2 linked regions of the Pelodiscus sinensis genome follow. The protein of the gene in region 2 binds, or shares a complex with, the protein of the main gene of each other region. Links are inferred from orthologs where the notes say so. Each region holds a gene or a part of one and is shown on either strand. Other genes may lie near its edges.

The links. Proteins that work in one complex are often made in the same cells at the same time.
Region 1: OS9 (region 2) and UBE2J1 share a complex: the UniProt entries of both Homo sapiens proteins name them as parts of the HRD1 complex. The link is inferred for Pelodiscus sinensis from reciprocal best matches to the Homo sapiens genes OS9 and UBE2J1.

The regions. Positions count from the first base shown.
Region 1 is NC_134713.1:64,155,012-64,165,683, reverse strand, and holds the start of UBE2J1 (ubiquitin-conjugating enzyme E2 J1), read left to right. Parts: upstream 1-5,891; 5' UTR 5,892-6,016; coding exon 6,017-6,047; intron 6,048-7,805; exon of another isoform or gene 7,806-7,884; intron 7,885-10,672. UniProt on the Homo sapiens protein: Catalyzes the covalent attachment of ubiquitin to other proteins. Functions in the selective degradation of misfolded membrane proteins from the endoplasmic reticulum (ERAD) and is essential for cells to recover from ER stress.
Region 2 is NC_134729.1:2,613,352-2,623,643, reverse strand, and holds the start of OS9 (protein OS-9), read left to right. Parts: upstream 1-6,176; 5' UTR 6,177-6,210; coding exon 6,211-6,363; intron 6,364-8,700; coding exon 8,701-8,877; intron 8,878-9,265; coding exon 9,266-9,329; intron 9,330-10,081; coding exon 10,082-10,158; intron 10,159-10,292. UniProt on the Homo sapiens protein: Lectin component of the HRD1 complex, which functions in endoplasmic reticulum (ER) quality control and ER-associated degradation (ERAD).

The sequences.
Region 1 (10,672 bases), on a different chromosome or scaffold from region 2:
TCCATCAACTTATATCACTTCATAATTATATATAGGCTATATATAACTAATACAATAAGCAGAAGCCCAGAGTGCATAAATGAAACTGATAGCGTTTTGATTTCTTTTGAGAAGTTAATATGTATCCTAAGTGTCCTGAAGTAGGTCACTATTTATGAAGAGCTGCAAAATTCTATGGTGACTGCATATAGTCTTAAAGAAGGAAATATTTTTTCTATAGCCATGTGAATACAGGTATTGTAGTTTCTGCATGCTACAGCTAAGCACTTCTAGTTTTTCAGCATGGGAAATAGACTCATTAAATCACTTGACAGTGTGTGCAGATCCAATGTAGTGTTGCCAACATTTGTGACTTCACTACAAATTACATGATATTTGATGCTTTTCCTTATAGCAAAGCCCCTGCTTAGTCAAGTGATTATATGAGAATCTCAACTTTCATTTAAAAAACAATGTTTCTAGCCCTCAAGGTTGCAAAGATGCTTGTATGATGAAGGCTTGGAAACCAGAAGGCAAATAATCACCCCTCTTCCAAATATGTAATTTTAAAAAGCATGGTAGTGGGGGCCTAACTTTTGAGGCTTGCCTGTTGTATACCTCACTGATGTGGCCCCTAACTGAGAAGCAGAAAGACACTCCCTATTCTACAGGCACACCAAAGCCTAGGGGGCCCAGTCTAGTAGATTTTGTGTGCTCCAGCCCCATGGGGAGAGGGACAGCACAAGCTCCAGGCAAGCCAAGGCCGCATCCAGTCCCTGGGTCTGAGATTCCCCACCCCGACCTAGATAATAATAAGATGACAAGTAATAGTAAACATGTATTTGTCAACAAGCAACAAAGCTTGCCTTTTGAGTATTGCCTTTAGAAACTAGTTAGAGGTCCTTGAAGCCATGGTGTATCCTGTCCTTCAAAGGGAGGCTGTAACAAGTCAGCAGGTAGCACGGAGAATTGTGGAGTTGAAACCTAGCTTCATATGGGTATATAAAGTTAATCAAGAAGTGCAGTTAAACCTAGTATTATGGGTACCCATGGCCCCAAACTGGCAGAGATGTAATTTAATTGAATGGGGGGAAAATTCAATGGATTTCTACATTATAAAAATTATGACTGTATTTGCATTGTTTCTGTAATATTTAGTCTGATGCAGTTATGATGACTGTGTATTTCTTCTTTAGCTAGAAACTAATAGTTCATGTTAAGTGCAGGTGCTTCCTTTGTGAGCTATATAAAGTGATGCCGTAACTGCTGCCAAGCACAACCCAGAGACAACAGTCAACTCATCTAAATATTACTATTTGAACAACACAAGTATTAACCGGATTACTCTTAGAATTCTCCTGGCTAAAGGAGGATAAAAATTCCTTTAAAGGTTGTGGGTAAAATATGACCCTTACAGAGAATGAAAGGGTTTGGCCATGTATAGGGCCATTCTACTAGTATGTGGCAAGATGACTCAAGGTAGCTTAGGGTGTGTCTACATGGCAGCGTTATTTTGGAATAACAGACGTTATTCTGAAATAAATTTGCGAGCATCTACACATTTTGAAATAATGGGTGGCTTATTCTGGATTCTGTAAACCTCATTCCACGAGGAATAATACCTCTTTCAAAACAGATATTTTGAAATAGCTGTAGTGTGGACGCTCTACTGCTGCTATTTCAAAATAGCTCCTCCTCCAGGCCATTCAAAGTAATTACTCCCCAGTGCTACTGGGGCTCTAAATTGAGGTAGTGCATCCACATTAAGGGAGCCTGCCTTGGACTAATTTCCTGGCTTCCCTGTAGTGTAGACGTGCTATTTCAAAATAAGCTATTTCGGAGTATCTCTTTCACAATAGCTTATTCAGAAATAAACATGCAGTGTGGATGTACCCTAAATGAGGAAGGATGAACAAGTTTATGTGCTGTGCTACTCCTTACAGATCCTTTAAAAACAAATGGGGGCAAATTCACATGCACCATGCCCTTAAAACTGCTGATGAGAGATTGGAGATATTCCAGAGGACTGGAAGATGGAAAATAGTGTCAGTCCATAAAAAGGAGAACAAAAGCAACTTGGGGAATCATAAACAATCAGTTTAACTTCATGACATTGAAAAATGGAGCAAATAATTAAGCAAACAATTTGCAAACACCTAGATCACCCGGGGAGCCTTAGCCGTGTAGGACAGCAGCAGAACCAGCGAGACATGTCCCCGGGAAGCCCTGGCTGGGTGGGGCAGCAGCGGGGCAGCCGGGCAACCCCATTCTCAGGAATGCCCAGTTGGGTGGGGAAGACGCAGGACTGCTACAATTGAGGAGCTCTCAGGAAAGGGAAGTGCCCTGAGAGGCCAGTGTCAGGGCCCACCCCGATCCAGCAAATTCCCTCCTTTGGGACAGGTCACGTCCTGAGGGTGCCAGACAAGGGAGGTCGAATCTGAATAAAGATTGTAGAAGATTATCAAGATGGGAGGCATTGCAAGTGCTTTGGATGACAGAATTAAAATTCAAAATAATCTACACAAACTGGAGAAATGGTCTGAGGTAAATAGGATTACATCATATATATAGTAGCCCAATGTCTGAGAGTCTGTAACACTGAAATGCTGGGTGTTCCTTTTGGGTGGCCTGAGTTGCATGGAGAGTGTGGGGCCTAAACGGCTGCTTGCTCTCCTGTGGTGCCCTGGCTCAGCAGTGCAGAAGTCAGCCGAGTGCCACGGCAGGAGAGGAAGGGGGGTGGGGCAGTGATGTGCAGCGTGACAGCGGCTCCAGGCCCCGCCCCCTGGCCGTGAACTTCACCACCCCGCCCCCCTTCGCCTCCTGCCATGACGCTCGGCTGACTTCTGCACTGCTCAGCCAGGCCGCCTCGTGAGAGCAAGTGGTGCAAGCGACCGTTTGGGCTCCACATTCCCCATGCAGCACGAGGAGCGCGGAGCCCAAAAGGCCATTTGAGTTTCGCGGTCCCCCAAGTGAGAGGCAGGAGGGGGAGGAGAAGAGAAAGAGAGAGAGGCAGGAGGCGTAGGAGAGCTGAGAGAGAGAGAGACCGGAGGCTCAGGAGAGAAGACTGACATGGAGGAGAGACGTGAAAATCCCATTTTATGATGGGCTAATTGGCTAGTTCAATAAGAACAATTGCAAAGTACTTCACTTTGGAAGGGACAATAAACTGCACATATGGAAAATGAATAGAAAGGAGTACTGTGGAAAGGGATCTAGAGGTTATTGCAAATCAAATATGAGCTAAATATGAGTCAAGAGTGTCACATTGTTGCAAAAAGCAAATATTCTGGGACCTATCAGGAGAACTATGAGCAAGACACAATAAATGATGAGGCTTGAACTGGTGAATTTTGTCCAGTTCTGAATGCCATTTTTTCAGGGGAGATGTGGATAAACTGGAGAAAGTCCACAGGAGAGCAAAAAAAATTATTAGAGTTCTAGAAAACATGACCTATAAAGACTGAAAAAAATGGTTTTGCTTAATCCGAGACAACTGAGGAGACATGAGAACTCTTTTCGTACATAAATGCTGTTACAAGGAGAAAGGTGAAAATTGTTCTCTATAACCTCTGAGAAAGGATAAGAAGCAATGTACTTAAATTGCAGCAAAAGAGGTTTAAATTGGACACGAGGAAAAACTTCCTGTCAAAGTAGTTACTCACTGGAACAACTTGCTTAGGGAGGTCATGGAATCTCTGCCATTGGAGTTTTTAAAGAACAGGTTAGACAGACACCTATAGTCAAGTTGTCACTTATCCTTGCCTTGAATGCAGGGGACTGGACTAGATGACCTATTAGGTCCCTTCTAGGACTTCACCTGTGTGTTTCTATGATGGTTATGCTCCCAAGAGGGAGTCATGTGTTCTTGGACATTAACTATAGAACAGTGGGTTCTTTTGTAAACAAACTGATGCACTAGCTAATCTCTCATCCTAATGCTTTTCTGAGTTCTGTGTTGGAATCCTGTCCTCCTGCTGTAACAGTGAGTCACAGGGAGAGGCAAGATTATTTATGCCCTGTTCCTCCAACTACTGCACTGCAAATGTTGCCCTATATTCATAAAGATGACTTGCCTACTACTGAAATGCAACTATCTCTTAACTCTCCAAGCTATACCAACTACGTAACAATTTTAGGAGTTGAAAACGAAAAGTAATTTTTGAAATTGAAACAAAAAGATAATTATGCAGGCAAAAAATTACCGGTTTGTAGAACCATACCAGTGTTCGACCTTTCTGTGTGCAACTGGTATTCACTGCTGATGGTTTACAGAGAGGCATGAGATATGAGAAAGGTGAAATGAGAAAGAGATGGAGATATGGACAAGAACTAGGGAATAACAAAATAAATGTTAAACCTGGTGCCAGGACAAACATTTTCAAACTTAAGTGATTAAAATTAGGTACATCAGTAAAAGGGGGCTGATTCAAAGATGCTGCTGGTCCAGAGCTCCCAAAGAAATAGACAGGAATTCAGTACCTCTGAAAATCAGGCTACTTTAATAAATGTAGATGCTTATCTTCAGGGCTTGACAAACGGCGACAAAACCTACTCACCAGCTCCACACTGAGCATGCACGAGACCCGCATTGCGCATGCGCGTGCCGCCAGTGAATGGGGCGACTGGCTGAAATCTACTTGCCACGGGCGAGTAGATTCAGTGATTTGTCGAGCCCTGATTATCTTATTATTCATGTACATTATCATAGCACCTATGTGCCTCAATTATGGATCAGGATCCAATGTCCCCTAGGGCATTCAATCCAAGTAATAGAGAGCATTAAATCCAAGTAATAAGGGCAGTATACCAGGTAAGGGTGCATCAGCACAGGAAAGGGATTTGGAGAGTATATGGGTTGAAGGTACTATGTGAGGTAGTACAGAGAAGGATATAAGTGATGGGGATGTAACAAAGCAGGGAAAGTACTGGGAGAGCTATAGGGAAAGTATCAGCAATGGAAATGTATTAGGGTGAAGAAGGTATCGTGAGGGTAGCAAGGAGAGGGCAGTATGGGTAATAAGGTGGTATTGGGAGAGGGATGGGGATGGAGGTGGGGGCAATGTCAGCAGTGAGAATTGTTTCAGGGTAGAAGCATTGGCAGTATTAGGGTGGGAGAGGTATCAGGAGTGATGTCAGGGATGAGGGCAACATTGATGGTGAGGCTGCTTCAGTAATAAAGGGGCTATGTGGGCAGCCTGGGGGCAGTATCAGTAGGGCTGCAGGGAATGAATCAGGGTAGGGGCAATATCAGGAGCAGTATCAGGGATGAGAAGCTGTATTGGGGGAGTTATCAAGGGAGGAAGCGTAAGGATGAGGACTGAGTTGTAAGTGGTAAAAGGGATGGGGGCAGTATCAGAAAAGACATCAGGGATGGCGAGGTGTGAAATCAGCAAGATCAGAAATGGAGTGGCATTAATAGGAGTATTTGGGGTGGGTGTATCAATAGGGCTATCAGGGATGGGGACAGTGTCAGAAGGGGGATCAGGGTGTTAAGAGGAGGGGCTTTGGGAATTGGGACCGTATGGGGAGGGATCAGGAGGGAAATTGGGAGACGAAAGCTGCATTGGCGGGATGGGATTGGGATGGGAGTAAGGATGTTAAATATCCGTTAAATATCCAGGCTGCTGCTGCTTTGAAACTCTGCCTCTGCAGTGTTTCAATGGGGCATCCCACACAGCTGAGCCCCGGGCTCAGCTGATAGAGGCAACAACTGGGGCGACAGACTAGTTGACTGACTGTCCCATTAGCATTTGCTTATGGGATAGTCGACTGGAGACCTAACCCCTGAGGTGGGGTGATGTGCTACTGGGAGGGGGCTGTGGATGAGCGGCTGCGGGGCGGGGAAGGGGTCTGGGTGGGGGCTGGCTGGAAGGGGCGAGGGGCGGGGCTGAGGCTGGCGCGGCGCGCAGGGGGCGGGGGAGTCACAGAGCAGCCGCTGCCACGTCAGGCCCGTTTCCGGCCGCGGCCGGAGCCGAGTCAGCAGCCGCCGACGCGCAGGCCCCGCCCCTCCCCGCATAGCCGGGAGCCGGCGCCCGCCATGGAGACGCGCTACAACCTGAAGAGCCCGGGTGAGCGAGCGAGCGAGCGAGGGGCCGGGGCGGGGTGGCTGGACGGGAGCCGGCGGCCTCCCTCCAGGCCCCGGGTGCAGGCCGCGGCGGCCCGGGAGGAGCGGGCCGGAAGCCACCCGCCGGGACCGGGCCTGCCGGCGCCTCGGCCACAGGGCGATGAGGCCGGTTCGTCTCCCGGCCCGCGGGGCGAGCCCGTTCCCGAGCGCGGGGGCATGGCCGAACCTCCCTCCTCTGTCGCCCTCCTCGCCAGTGGCAGAGCCTGTGCGCCTGGGCCCCCTCTCCCCGGCCCTCCTCTTCCCCTGCCGGGGTCACCCCTGGGCTGGGGGCTTTGCCCCCACTCCCCGCGTAGCAGGGGCTCTGTTCTTCTCCCTGCACTGCAGGGCCCCGTTCTCCTGCCTGGTCCCTTCGTGCCAGGGCCCTGAGTCTCCCCCCATGCCAGGGGCGCTGTTTCCCCAACTTTTCCTCGCCAGTATCTCCCGTTCTTTATGCCAGTGGCGCTCAGCCTTTCCAGACTGCTGTACCCCTTGTGGGCATCTCATTTGACTTGCATGCCCCCGGGTTTCATCTCATTTAAAAACTGCTTGCTTACCAAATCAGGCATGACAAATACAAACGGGTCACAGCACACTGTTCTGGGGGAATTCCATACCTTTTCATTTGTATTGTATAACTATAAAATCAAATGGATTATGAATGTATGCACATTTCAGCATAAAATATAAGTGGTCAAGGGTTGCACTTTATTTTGGAGGGGAAGCAGGGTCTGGGATAGAGGTTGAGTGCAGAAGAGAGTGAAGAGTAAGGATGTTAAATAACGATTAATTTACTAGTTGAGAAGTCGATGGAATTTCCATCAACTAATTCACTAGTCGATAGGCACTTCCAATTTTGAAATGCACAAGAGCCCCTTGTACATTTCAAAGGAGGAATGCGGACCTCTGCATGTAGCCTGGGGCCAGCGGGCAGTCCCGCTGACTCAGGGCTCCATGCTGGCACTTCCACTTTGGGGCTCTTGGCGCGTTTCAAAGCGGAAGTACCCTCATGGAGCCCAGGATCAGCTGGGGACTCCCCAGCTGATTCCGGGTTCCGTGGAAATGCTTCAGGGAGCCTGGGGTCAGCTAGAGAGCCCTTGTGGCATTTCAAAGGGGCAGCGCTGTATAGCTGATCCTGGTTTCTGTGCAATGCTGCCCCCTTTGAAACACTGCATTTCAAAGCGGCAGCACTACACTGAGCCCATGGTCAGATCTGTGCAGCGCTGCCCCCTTTGAAATGCTGCCACAGTGTTCAAAGCATGGAGCCTGGGTTATGGGCTCCGTGTGGTGCTGCCGCTTTGAAATAACCCCTGTTCCCGCCTCCCCCCCTCCCGTTTGCTGCCTCTGTCTGATAGAGGCAGCAAGTGGAAGGGGGGGGGAGAGGAATCAACTAGTCGACTGGCCTATCAGATAAGTATTTGCTTATCAGAGAGTTGACTAGTCCTTAACATCCTTAGCTCAGAGTAGGGGATTGAGGTGTAGGAATGTTTGTTGGGTCTGGGAGGAATTTGGATGAAGGAGGGAGTTGTGACTTGGGGCAGAAGATTGGGTGCAGCAGAGGATTCTGGCCTGTGAGAAGAGTGTAAGTGGGGTTTCAGGGTCTTGGAGGCAATTGTGACCTGGGGCAGAAAGGGTGCCTATGGTTTGGGTCATGATCTGGGGCAGGGAGTTTGAGTACAGGAGAGGGTGAACTACCATGTGTAGGTTCTGGCTGGGAGGCACTTACCTGGTCTGTGCCCAGTCAGCTACCTGCAGGACTCTCAGATATCCCCCTGCCTGCTGCAGCTCAAAGCAGCTGACTGCTAGTGCCATGTGCCTCTCCACACTATGTACCTTGCGGGGAGCCTTTGTGTGCTGCCTCTGCCACCAGCACAATCCTTGCAGCTCCCGTTGGCCAGTTATCGACCAATGAGAGTGTGGAGGATTGTTCTGCTGGCGGGGGCAGCATGCGAGATCTTCACCCGCGTTCAAGCAGTCTGGGGCTGCAGTAGGCAGGGAGCCTGCCTGAGGGTCCCATTGGGCTGTGGGCCAGATCCAAAGGCTTGTCAAGCCAGACCTGGCCTCTGGGCTGTATCTTGACCACCCCAATGTACTCCCTGGAAGACCCTTGAGTACCTCTGGTTAAAAATCACTGGTTTACACCACCATCTCTCTTTCTTACTCTCTTAAAATAAAAAAAAGATAAGAGTACTTTTCTTCCCTCCAGATTGGATGGTACTATCTCACCCCAACCCGAGGGGGAGGGCATGAGGAATTACATGCACCCAAACACTGTAGATGGAAGGAGTTGGCCAGCAGCTGGCAGGAGGGATCCCCTCACCAATGTCGCCAACAGTGGCAGGGGGAAGTAGAACAGGATGGCCTCAGTTGTTTTGCCCTCCTGGTGTGCTGCTTGGGTATGAGTGAGTATGTGAGAGTGAGACCTCTGCTACTGGCCTCAGACCCTCTAGACCTTGGGACTGTCTCTGTTCAGGAAGAGGCTGATGCAGGGACAGGAAGAGTGGGGGATCATGTGGCTGGAGACCCCGCCCTTGAGGGCCCCCTCATAGGTCACTTCTGCCCCAACCAGGAAGCAGGATTGGAGTAAAGGACAGAGGGGGGAAGATATGGATGTAAAAATAACAGCACCCCCGTTCACTAACTGTGTAACCAATTGAAATTCAGTGGGTTACACAGTTAAATGTTCTGCAGGCTCTCAGAGGCTGCTGGCCCTGCGAGCTGAGAGTTAATCAGTAATGTTAACTGATAAGCTAAATTCTTACATCCCTAGAGAAAGATCCTTTCTCTCTCTCTCTCTCTCTCTCTGTAATTGCCTCTGTAAACTCAATTGTTTACTGAGTATCCATCTTGCAGGAGGGAGGGCAATTAGTTTTCTTTGGGATGTCAATGTGTTAAACTCTATTGGGTGGATGAGCAGGACTATTGTAATTCTGTAATGTGTTAGTGGATGGCATAAACAGATTCTGATGACTGCTGTCCATCTTGATTGTCCCCAAAATTGTACCCGGTGGTGTAAAGGGCAACATGGTCACAGCTGTCCCTCAATTTCCTTCTGGTGCCCATGGCAGTGAGATGTAATGAGTGGTGCCAGTCCTTGTGCTGCCAGTCTGTTCTACAAAATGTCACAGTTCATATTCTAATGGGCAATGCATCTTCATTATACTGTTTAAAGGAGCAATGAGATACATGATCATCACCTGACATGGAAGTAACGAGCAGGTAACGGACATGATGTAATCAAAATGGGGTACCCTCAAATCACTCCTTATGTTTGGGAGTCAGAAATAACCTAGCAGACAAACCATCACCAGTGATGTGTGAAATTCCATTATTGAATTGGTAGCAAAGGCAGGGGACACATGCCCAGGATCATTGCAAGAGGCCTTTCTCATACTATGGGATCAAGGACCCATGTACGTATTTATCCTTTGATTCCAAAAGGCACGTGCAAAGTTAGACAGGATGTAGCTACACTGATTCTACAGGTTGAACCTCTCTAGTTCGGTATCCTTGAGACCTGAGCAGTGCTGAATCAGAGAATTTGCTGGACCATGGGAGGTCAATATTGTCTAGCAGCATTACCAACATTTTCACTGCTTACTAGGCTCTTAGAAAAACTCAAAACAACAAATTGTCTTGCAGCACCTTAGAGACTAACAAAAATGTAGATGATATGAGTTTGAAGACATTTAAGGGTAAATTAGAGCTAACTACTACCAGTACAGAGTACTGAGAACCAGGACTGGTGGCTGTAAACATATTTTGTGGGACCATGGGAATGTTGGCCACACCCATAAGTGGACATCCAGCTAACTAAAATCATGCTGGACCATGGATGTTGCCGGATCAGAGAATGCTTGACTAAAGTGGTTCAACCTGTATTTGCATTAAATTGGCAAAGACCATTTTGGCCGACTGTTCTCAGAATATCTCAGAGGGGTACTTCTAAAAACTTAAAACAACGAATAGTCTAGTAGCACCTTAAAGACTAACTAAACATGTAGATGGTGGTATGGGCTTTTGTGGGCAAAACCCATTTATTCAGATGACCTGGAGTATTAATAGTCCAGATCCAAGAATAAATAAGGGAGGGGAAGAGAAGGAGGGGGGAAGAGTGAATAGATTGTTCAAGTTACAAGAGGCTGATAAGAACAATTAGAACCTCCATTGTTTGTTTGGTTGGTTAATTCATTAGGATGTGGAAGGTAATGTGCGCCCAGCCAATATTTCTGTTCATTGCAATCTGATAACTTCATTTACAAGTTTAATTTTTAAGTCCCAACCCTTCCCTGTGTATTTTTGGCTTGTGGAATTGGTCTGAAACAACACAATGAATTGGAGATCCACTAATGAGTGACCAGGCATGTTAAAGTGTTCTCCAACAGGTTTATGTGTGTTGCCTTTTTGGATATCTGATTTGTGTCCATTAATTCTTTCCCATAGAGACTGTCCACTTTGGCTAATATACATGGCAGTTGGGCGTTGCTGGCATTTGATGGCATACATCACAGTAGTGACTGTGCAGTTAAATGAGCCCCTGATGTTGTTGGGTCCAGTGATGAAATAGCTTGTGTAGATGTGTGGGCAGGGTTG
Region 2 (10,292 bases):
CCAGGGCCTGATGAAATAATAATTCAGACTGATCTGGACACACTAGAGAAATGGTTGGAGGTCAGTAGAATGAAGTTCAATAAGGACAAATGCAAAATACTCCACCTAGGGAGGAATAATCCGTTTCACACTGAGGCTGTGTCTAGACTGGCAAGTTTTTCCGGAAAATCAGCCGCTTTTCCGGAAAAACTTGCCAGCTGTCTACACTGGCCGTTTGAATTTCCGGAAAAGCGCTGACGATCTCATGTAAGATTCTCAGTGCTTTTCCGGAAATACTATGCTGCTCCCGTTCGGGCAAAAGTCTTTTTCCGAAAGACTTTTGTGCAAAAGGGCCAGTGTAGACAGCACAGGACTGTTTTCCACAAAAAAGCCCCAATCGTGAAAATGGCGATCGGGGCTTTTTTGCGGAAAAGCGCATCTAGATTGGCCATGGACGCTTTTCCGCAAAAGTGCTTTTGCGGAAAAGCATCCTGCCAATCTAGATGCGCTTTTCCGAAAATGCTTTTAACGGAAAAACTTTTCCGTTAAACGTATTTCCGTAAAATCATGCCAGTCTAGATGCAGCCATACAGAATGGGAAGCGGCCGCCCAGGAAGAAGTCCTGCAGAAAGGGATCTAGGGGTCATAGTGTATCACAAGCTAAATATGAGTCAACAGCATGACCCTGTTGCAAAAGAGCAAACATCATTCTGGGAGTGTTGTCAAAAAGACACGAGAAAGTGATTCTGCAGCTCAACTCTGCGCGGATTAGGCTTCAGCTGGACTTTTATGTCCGGTTCTGGGAGCCACATTTCAGGAAACATGCGGACAAACTGGAAAGGGTCCAGAAAAGAGCTACAGGAATGATGAAAGGTCTAGAAAACATGACCTATGTGGGAAGATTGAGAGAAGTGGGCTTGTTTAGTCCGGAAAGGAGAAGACGGAGAGGGGACATGCTAGCAGTTTTCAAGTACCTAAAAGGGTGTTATTAGGAGGGAGAAATATTATTCTCCTTAACCTCTGAGGATAGAGCAAGAAGCAATGGGCTTAAATCGCAGCAAAGGGGTTTAAGTTGGACATTAGGAAAATTCCTGTCAGGGTGGTTGAACTCTGGAATACATTGCCTAGGGAGGTTGTGAAATCTGCATCATTGGAGATTTTAAAGAGCAGATCGGATAAACACCTGTCAGGGATGGTCTCGATGGTGCTTAGTTCTGCTGAGAGTGCAAGGGACTGGATTTGACGACCTCTCGAAGTCCTGTCCCCTCCTACGAGTCTGTGAAAACTCAGCTTCTTATTTATGCGAGCGTTACCTTCTCCATCACAATCTGTAGGACATCCATGCACCCTGGTACTTTTGTAAATGAAATTGGCCTTTAATGTGGGAACCACGTGTGACGGCGCGTCGGGGTTCCTCCGATCCTGCAGCCCCGGAGCAGCAAGAACAGACTCCATCAGCCAGTAGAATAGAGGGGTTTAGTGCTTCTCCCGGATACAGCCCGGCACAGATGTGACGTGGCTACAGGAGTCAGGGCCAGGATGCCTCAGGCTTATCGGAGAACAGCTGCCGGCGGGAGCGCAGCACCTCTCGGATCTCGGCCTGCTGGGCCAGGGTGAGCCGGTCCGAGAGGGAAATTGACTCCAGCAAAGAGTCCTCTCCGGTCCCAGGGAACAGACCCACCAGGGGGTCCTCCCCCTGCTCCTCCCAGGGGTTGCACACGGCCAGCACCAAGTTCTCCCTGTCCCAGTACGGCTTCATCATGTTAACATGATACACCCGCTGGCTGCACATCCGGCCCGTCAGCTCCACCACATAGTTCATCTCGTTCAGCTGCTTAACGACCCTGACGGGGCCGTCCCAGGCGGCTTGCAGCTTATTCTTCCGCATGGGGATTAGGACCATCACCTGGTCCCCGGAAGCGTAGGCGCGGGCCCGTGCATTGCGGTCGTCCCAGACCTTCCGCTTCCTCTGGGCCCTGCTCAGGGTCTCTCTGGCCAGGCCCATCAGCTCAGCGAGTCTTTCCCGGAAGGCCAGGGTGTTTTCCACCACCGACTCGCCCTCGGGAGAGGCCTTTCCCTCCCACTCATCTCTTAGTAAGTCCAGGGGTCCCCTCACCCGCCTCCTGTGACGGGATGCCCCCTCCCCGCACTGAAGCCCCCAGGGTGCAAGCCCTGTTTGGGGCCTCGAGCGCAGAGCACCGGTGGTGTGCCGGGTGCTCCCACGCCGCTGGCAAACCCGGACACCACGGTGAGCAGTGATGCGAGCGTTGCTGGGGGGGGGGTGAGCTGGGGGACCCCGGGTCAGGGGTGGATGGGGGAGAGGAAGTAGCCCAGGGCACAACCAGAAGGGTTGGTGGGCTGGCGCGTTTCAGCTAGGCGCCCCGTCAGCTGGACCAGATCACGGAGGATCCGTGTCCTTAGCGCCCATGGCTGGATCCCGTGAGTGATGACGGGTCCAAGCCCCCCTCCCTCTCCGACCTGGAGAGCATTGGATGCTTCGTCCGGCACCTACAACGTAGGACACTGGACTCGAGTTGCACCTGAGCGAGGGCGTGGGGGAATCAGCAGTGGCCGAAGGGGGACTGCCCCAAGAGGGCGGGGCGCAGCCCCACCCTGGACACGGTCACAAGGTGGTGGAGAACGTGGGCGCTAGAGGAATCCCTCCCCGAGCAGAAAAGGGGGGAGTGGACCATGCATTGTTTGTTCCCCGTTAGAAGCAAAGAGGGGAGGCGAGCCGCCGGAGGCGCCGACCCCAAGCGGCCGTCCAGAAGATGGAGCCGGTCCAGGTTCTGGAGTGGATTAAGGAGACACAAAGGCAAAGCCAGCAACAACAGACGCTACTGATCCAGCAGCTGTTGTTGCAACACCAGGAATAGCAGTGGCAGCTGGTAAGAGAACTAGCGGAACAATTCAAGAGTCAGCAGGACCAGTGGATGCGCCAGACCCGGCCCTCCCCGGGCCAAGGCGAGAAGGGGAATGAAGACGACGGCAGTGCACCGCGATTGACAGTCAGGTTGACTAAGATGGGACCAACGGGCGACCCAGAGGTGTACTTGACTACGTTTGAAAGGCTCGTCACCGCGGCCCGATGGCCAGAGGCCCATTGGGCCACGATACTGGCCCCCTACGTAACCGGACCGGCGCAATTGGCCTACCGCAGCTTAAGCGACCGGGAAGCCTTACATTATTACAAACTGAAGGAAGCCATATTGGACCAAATGGGCATTCCGCCCGAAACATACCGACAGAAGTTTAGAGGCGAATGATACAGCGTCGGGACGCGGCCTCACGTGACGGCCCAGCGACTCGAGCCGCTTGGCGTTGGCTGGATCCCGAACAACGTACGGGGCCACAAGTGGCCGAGCTCGTCGTGTTGGAGCAATTTGTAAATATTTTTCCCAGCGGCGGACAGCGCTGGGTGAGGCGGCACCACCCCTCTACCCTGAGCGAGGCCGTGGAGTTAATGAATGACTACGAGGCCGACGAGTTGGTCGAGGGCACGAGCCGGGGGGAAAGGTCTACCCCTGCTGCGCGAGGAGAACCGGCCCGGGGGTTCCAACCCCAGGGAAGCCCCGAGGTGGACGGCAGACGTGGGGCCGGGAAAGGGGGGGCACTGAGGCCGTTAGCTCCCCCTCCCCCGGGAAATACCCCGAGAAAAGCCGGGCTGCCTGGCCGAACGGGGAGCTCCTGGGGCACCTCCCTGTACGTGAACAGCAGGTGCGGTAGGTACTTGTCCCAGTCCTGCAGGTGCTGGTGCATAAAGGTCCTTGGCATCTGCTTCTGAGTCCCACCGAATCTCTCCACCAGCCCGTTGGTCTGGGGGTGATATGCCGAGGCCCAGGTGTGCTGGACCTTGCACTTCTCCCAGGGTCGACATGAAGATCCTTGGTCCGTGAGGACCTCCCGGGGGAACCCCACCCTGCTGAAAATGGTCGGCAGTGTGTCTGCCGCCGTGTCTGCCTCGATGGAGGGCAGGGCCACGGCCTCGGGGTAGCAGGTGGCGAAGTCCACCACCTCCAAGACGTATTTCTTCCCCGTCCGGGTCGCTCTGCTGAGGGTTCCCACAATGTCCATCACCCCCTTCTGGAAAGGCTCCTCTATATGGGTAGGGGCCTCAAAGCAGCCATTCCCGGTACAGGAATCTCTGCTCCCACAGGAACCGCTCCTGGCAATCTCCCCAGGTCAGCCCAGTCCCTCAAGGTCCGCAAGGAGGGATCTGCCTGGACTTCAGCAGCTGGGGCAGGGACAGGGACCTGTTCCCCCCCACTACTTGGGTCCGGAGTCCCAGCTCGGCCGGGCTTCGTGTCTGCTGGGGTGGGGGCCCGTGCCCCCTGCTGGGAGCCCTCCCCTGGGTCAGGATCACCAGCCCCTCACTGGCTCTGGCTACAGGTGGTGACCAGGGCCCTGTGGGGTCCGTCTGGCCACTCCTCTAGGTCCCCCCCATCAGCACCTCCGTGGGTAAGTGCCGGTGCACCCCCACTTCGTTGGGGCCCTCCTTAGCCCCCCATTTCAGATGCACCCGGGCTGTGGGCACCTTAATTGGAGTCCTGTCTATGCCCCTACAGGAGTCTGGGCCAGGATGCCTCAGCCCCCTTGAGATGGGTCCCTGGGCCCCTCGATTCCAGACCCCTCCTTAGACTGGTTCCTTCATGATTCCAGCCCCACACTGCCCCTTCCCCCAACACTCACTTCCTAGTTCCCTCACTGCCCTCAACCAGTTGGGTCTTAGGCAGCCCCCCTGCTGGGAAGTGCTCTGGCCACCGGCCAGTAGGGGTCACTCACAGCCCAAGCACAGGGACCAGTAAGGTACTGACACTACATCACACCGTGTCCAAGGAAGTCTGGGATCAAGGAACCAAGGACAGCCTCAGGCCTGGTCTACACATAGCAATTCACTCCACCCTGCTATGTTGCTCAGGGCTGTGAAGAAGGCACATCCTGTCCAGGGGATGTCATTTAATTAGGCAGACCTAGCCCCTGGTGTAGGCATGGCTAGATTAAGGGAAGAATTCTTTTGTCGGCCTAGCTGCCATCTCCTGGAGAGGTGGATTAACTGCACCATAGAAAACACCCGTCTGACACAGAAGCGTCGACACGTTGCGATGCGGCTGTAGCGTAGACAAACCCTCAGAGCTGGTGACAGGACGGTGCTGTATCCCAATGTCAGTAGGATCTGCCAGGGGCTCTGTGCACATGTAGAGGTTACAGGAGATCCCCCCCCATCACTTAGGCTGCACCCCTAGCAGGGGTTCCACCCCTGTGGCCGAGGCCTGGCCCCCTTGCCTTATGCCCCTCCCCATGGCTTTCTCCATCAGCGTCCCCTCTCCATCACCTCCCACTGAGGATGGGCCCCATAAACCCCCAGGCTGTGTCTACACTGGGCCACTTATTCCGGAAAATCAGCCGATTTTCCGGAATGAGCTGTCTACACTGGCCCTTGAATTTCCGGAAAAGCAACGACGCTCTACTGTACAAAATCAGCCGCTATTCCGGAAAACCTATTCTGCTCCCGCTCGGGCATAAGTCCTTATTCCGGAACACTGTTCCGGAAAAGGGCCAGTGTAGACAGCCCAGTAGTCTTTTCTGGAAAAAAGCCCCGATCGCAAAAATGAAGCTCGGGGCTCTTTTCCGGAAAAGCAGCCTGCCAATGTAGACGCTCCTTTTCCGGAAATACTTATAACGAAAACTATTCTGTTTTAAGCATTTCCGGAAATTCATGCCAGTGTAGACAGAGCCTGCCATTGTGTGGGTCAGCCCCCCTGAGTGGCCCTATGCAGCTTGGCTCCACCTAGCCCCACCCCTGCGCCTGCCACATGGCCTAGGTCCGACTGAAGCCCTGTGGATCATGTGACTCCAGTTTAACCAATCAGCTTGGCTCCCAAAGTTGGCTACAATTTATCTTCCTTCCCTCTTTCAATGCTGCCATCTCTGGGCTGCTCTTGCCCTTTAAGAGCCGGGCGTGACGTCATCATCCAGGCGGCCCTCGCCTTCCTGATTGGCTCGGGCGAGTGCTGACTCGGACCAATCCGTCCTCGCCAGATGCCAGCCCCGTCCCAGCCCCACGCCGGCCTCGCTTCCGAGGGCCCTTCCCCGGAGACTGACCAATGAGGAGCTAGATCAGAGGATTGGCACAGGCGCGGCCCAATGGCGGAGCTGGCTGCGGCGGGCAGGGCGGGCCCGCGCGAGGCGGCAGGCAGGAGGGCGGAAGCGCGGTGCGGGAGCGCGGGGAAGATGGCGGAGGCGCGGCCGGGGCTGCTCCTGCTGCTGGCGCTGCTGGCGCCGGGGCGGCCGCTGCCCGGAGCCGCCGGGAGCCTCAACCTGCAGGAGCTCAGCGAGCTCAAGTACGGGATCGAGATCGCCGCCGAGCCGGTGCTGGCCGGGCAGGTGCGTGGGGGGGGGCGCGTCGGGGGGGGCAGGTGCGTGGGGGGGGGCGGGCAGGTGCGTGGGGGGGCGCGTCGAGGGGGGGCCGGGCAGGTGCGTGGGGGGGCGCATCGGGGGGGGGCAGGTGCGTGGGGGAGGGGCCTGGCAGGTGCGTGGGGGCAGGTGCGTGGGGGAGGGGCCTGGCAGGTGCGTGGGGGGGGTCTGTCGGGGGGGGGCCTGGAAGGTGTGTGGGGGGCAGGTTCGTGGGGGGGCGCGTCGGGGGGGCATGGCAGGTGCTTGGGGGGCAGGTGGGTGGGGGAGGGGCCTGGCAGGTGCGTGGGGGGGCCCGTCGGGGGGGGGGCTGGAAGGTGTGTGGGGGGCAGGTGCGTGGGGGAGGGGCCTGGCAGGTGCGTGGGGGGCAGGTGCTTGGGGGGGCGCATTGGGGGGGCAAGTATGTGCAGGTCGGTCTGGGAGGTGCATGTTGGGGGGGTAAGTGAGGGGGCGGGGGGCAGAGGTCCCAGAGTGGGAGGTGAGAGGTCTGGCCAGGGGGGGTGCTGGAGGGGAGGGGCCCCACAGGTATGTGTAGGGACTGAACCGGCACGGGGGCAGTTAGCTGGGGAAAGTGGGGGCAGGGCCAGTGTTTCTGTGGGGGTTGGTCTGGGGCAGAGGGAGCGAGCGGATGGGGGGTCCTAGGAGCTGGCATTGGTTGGCAGGGTCAGGGTAAGACTGGAGCGAGAGGGGGGCTGGGGTAGGTAGGTGCCAGGGGCCAAGCCCATGTGGAAACTCCCTTTCAGCCCATCTCCCCCATCCTGGGGCCACGTCCGACCTGGTGCCTGTGCAAACACATCCCCTTTACTTGCTCCCAACAACCGACCCCTTCCTGGCATAGGCCGGGGCACCGGGCTCAACAGCACCCTGGCCACTGCCCCGGCGGCCCCCGTGTTTACTTCTCCGGCCGAGTCAGGCGGCTGCGCTTGGGACTTCCACCATCCGAGGCCTCACTTTCGCACGTGCCAACGGGGAGCTGGCGCAGAACGGCCGAGGTGCGGCGTCACGCTGCTGCTCGGCCGTGCGCTTTGAAACAGCGACTTCTGGCGCAGCTGTGTGCACCTTGTTCTGCTTTCTGGCTGCCTGCCTCTCTGGATTAACGCCGCCTGCGGAACGGCGGGGAGGGTGGCCAAAATCTGCTGAAACCGCAGTCGCTTTCTAGCACCTGATTCTTCTCCACGATTCTGGCCTGGGGGAGGCTTAGCTAAAAGCAGAAGTTTGGGAAGTTGGCTTGTGTTTGCATCCGGAGAGCGCCTGCCAGCTGCTGCCCGACATGCTGGCTCGGGCACTTTGTGCTTTGTAAAGGCGAGAGCCTGCTCTTGTGCACATTCAGCATCACGGTGTAAATTCGGAGAGGGGCCCTGCGGCCCTGGGCAAGTCGTTTAGGCCTCATCTAAACAAGCAGGTTGTGCAGCGGTTTGGCTAAATGAGACCGGTATTGAGGAAGTGTTACCCATCATCCCCAGCGTGGACGCTGTCTTCTGACAGTGGCCAAGAGGGAGCAAACAGAACAGGGAATCATCAAGTGATCCCTCCTCTGTCGCCCAGTTTCAGCCTCTGACAAACAGCGGCTCTTTTTGGAACCCTGTTAAAGTCCTGGCTTTCACAACATCCTCTGGCAGGGAGTTCCACAGGTCGACTGTGGGCTACATGAAGAAAAACGTCCTTTGGTTTGTTTAAAACCTACGACCTATTCATTTCATTTGGTGACCCCCTCGTTCTGATGTTAAAAGCCAGTTTGGCGCTCTGCCCCCTAGGCGATGCTGCCTGTCAGAACTGACGCGCTCAGCCCTAGAGTTGCCGTATCGCCGAGCCAAGGTCACGAAGCCGGCGCCAGCTCCCTCGCAGCTTGCTCTGGTCTAGCTTGCGTCCCTGAAGAGCGGGTGGAAGCCACTCTGCCGTAAGCGGCTCAGAAACTGAGACGGCTGCCCCCCCATGGGGATGCACTGGTTTCCATGGGATCCGGGCACAGCTGCAGTGAAAGCCATTCCCGCTGGTGCCTGGGCGAATTGTGGAGCAGAACCGGTTTCCAACCGGGGTTGGGCAGGATTTGGGTTTTGACGAGTATCTCTCTTCTGATTGGCGTGGGGTGAGCAGCAGACTTGGCTTCCAATCCCAGCCCTGCCACTGCCTCGGCGGCCTTGGTCATGTCACCTCACTGTGCCTTAGTTCCCTAGCTGCGTGATGCCGGACGCCTGGTATGGCAGGAACAGGAGGAAGCCAGAGCATCTAGCCACCAGGCTGGCACCTTCCTGCTCCCTCAGACCTCTTGGCCCTGTTCTCCTTCGCTGACGCCCCACCTCCGCCCCCTAGAGCCAGCCGGAGGACGTGGTGGTCGTGGCGTCCAAGTACAAGCAGAAGTACGAGTGCCGCCTGCCGACCGCCGCCCTGAGGATCCACCTGGACGCGGAGGAGCAGCCACAGAGTTACCAAGGCCTGGGCATCTCGGATCTGCTGCGGCCCATGGAGGCTGCGCCCTGCCTCGTGAAGGTGACTCCGAGGGATGCTGTGTGCTTGGGGGGGGGGGAGGTGTCTGCAGGCCTGTTGGCCCCCCTGGAAGCGGGCTGGCTCCTGGGGAGGAAGGGGGTAGACAGGATTCCTTCGGGGGGCCCTGGGGAGCTGGCAGCACCTGCTCCCGGCCTCCGGCGGCCTGGCCGTCAGCAGGAAAGCTGTCAGTTGTGAGGTCCGGGCGGACGGAGGAAAGGCCCCCGTGGCACGGAGCCACCGCTGTCTTTGCCGGCCCTCGAGGGGCACACAGCAGCCCCGGCAGCATGGATCTAAGGGGGCTGGGCTGGGGCCGTGGCCAGTGGGGTTCTGGGGGGCGGGGCAGCTCCTGGGCTTTGTGGAATTGACGCGCCGGCTCCTGCCTCCTTCCCAGACCAAGGACTGGTGGACGTACGAGTTCTGCTACGGGAAGCACATCCAGCAGTACCACGTGGAAGGTAACGCTCGCTGTGCCGGGCCCTGCTGGGGGGCAGCGTGGGGGGGGGTGAGTGGGTCCCCCCGCCCCCGGGACACCCTCGGCTGAGAATGTGGCCAGCCCCTCCCTCTGGGGCCTGGTCTGCGCCCGTGGGGCGGCTCGGCTGGCAGATGGGGGAGGCTGCCAATATAAACGCTTGGCAGAGCAAAGAAGCTACGTGGGCGCCGGGGGTGGCAGCGCCCAGGCCTATGGAGACGTGTGACGGGCACGGGGGCCGTGGTCTCTCTGCTGGGGTCACGTAGTGCCCCCGTGGCCTCCTGTGTCAACTCCCCCCAGCTCCCTGGGGCTGCCCTGCCAGCTGGGGGGTCACTGCGTGATCGGCGCGGGCCCCTCTCCTTGGCATCCGCGGTGGCAGCCGAGCGCGGGGGCTGGGGGCAGGGATACTCCGTGTTAGATCTTGGTAGCAAAAGGGGCTCCCCCCACCCCGGACGGGCCCAGCCCTTCCCCTGAACCTGATCTGGGTGGGGTGTTGACCTGGCTCTTGTCCTTGCACTGAGGCAGGGCGATCTGGTGCCCCTCCCCCCCCCCCCCCCCCCCCCGAAGTCTGGGGCTAGCCTGGACTTGGGCCTCTGGCCTGCCCCAGCTGTCCCGCGGCACCGGGGGCCAACAGCACATGGAACACCCGGTCCTGCCCGCCCTCCCTGGGTGTCTCTCCCCGGGGCCTGGCCGTCCTGGAGCTCTAACGGGGGTGGCTGGGGTCTCTTTGCTTCCCAGAGTCGGAGATTAAAGGGGACGTCCTGTACCTGGGCTACTATCAGTCAGCGTTCGACTGGGACAACGAGACGGCCAAGGTTGGTGCGCCGGGGTGGGAGTCCAGAGCTGGCTCAGCGAACGGGGGAGCAGTCTGGCTGGAAGTCCCCACCAATGCGCCCCCCCCCCCTCCCCAGAAGCGGCCCCGTTGGGCAGGGCAGGGCACTGACTGGCT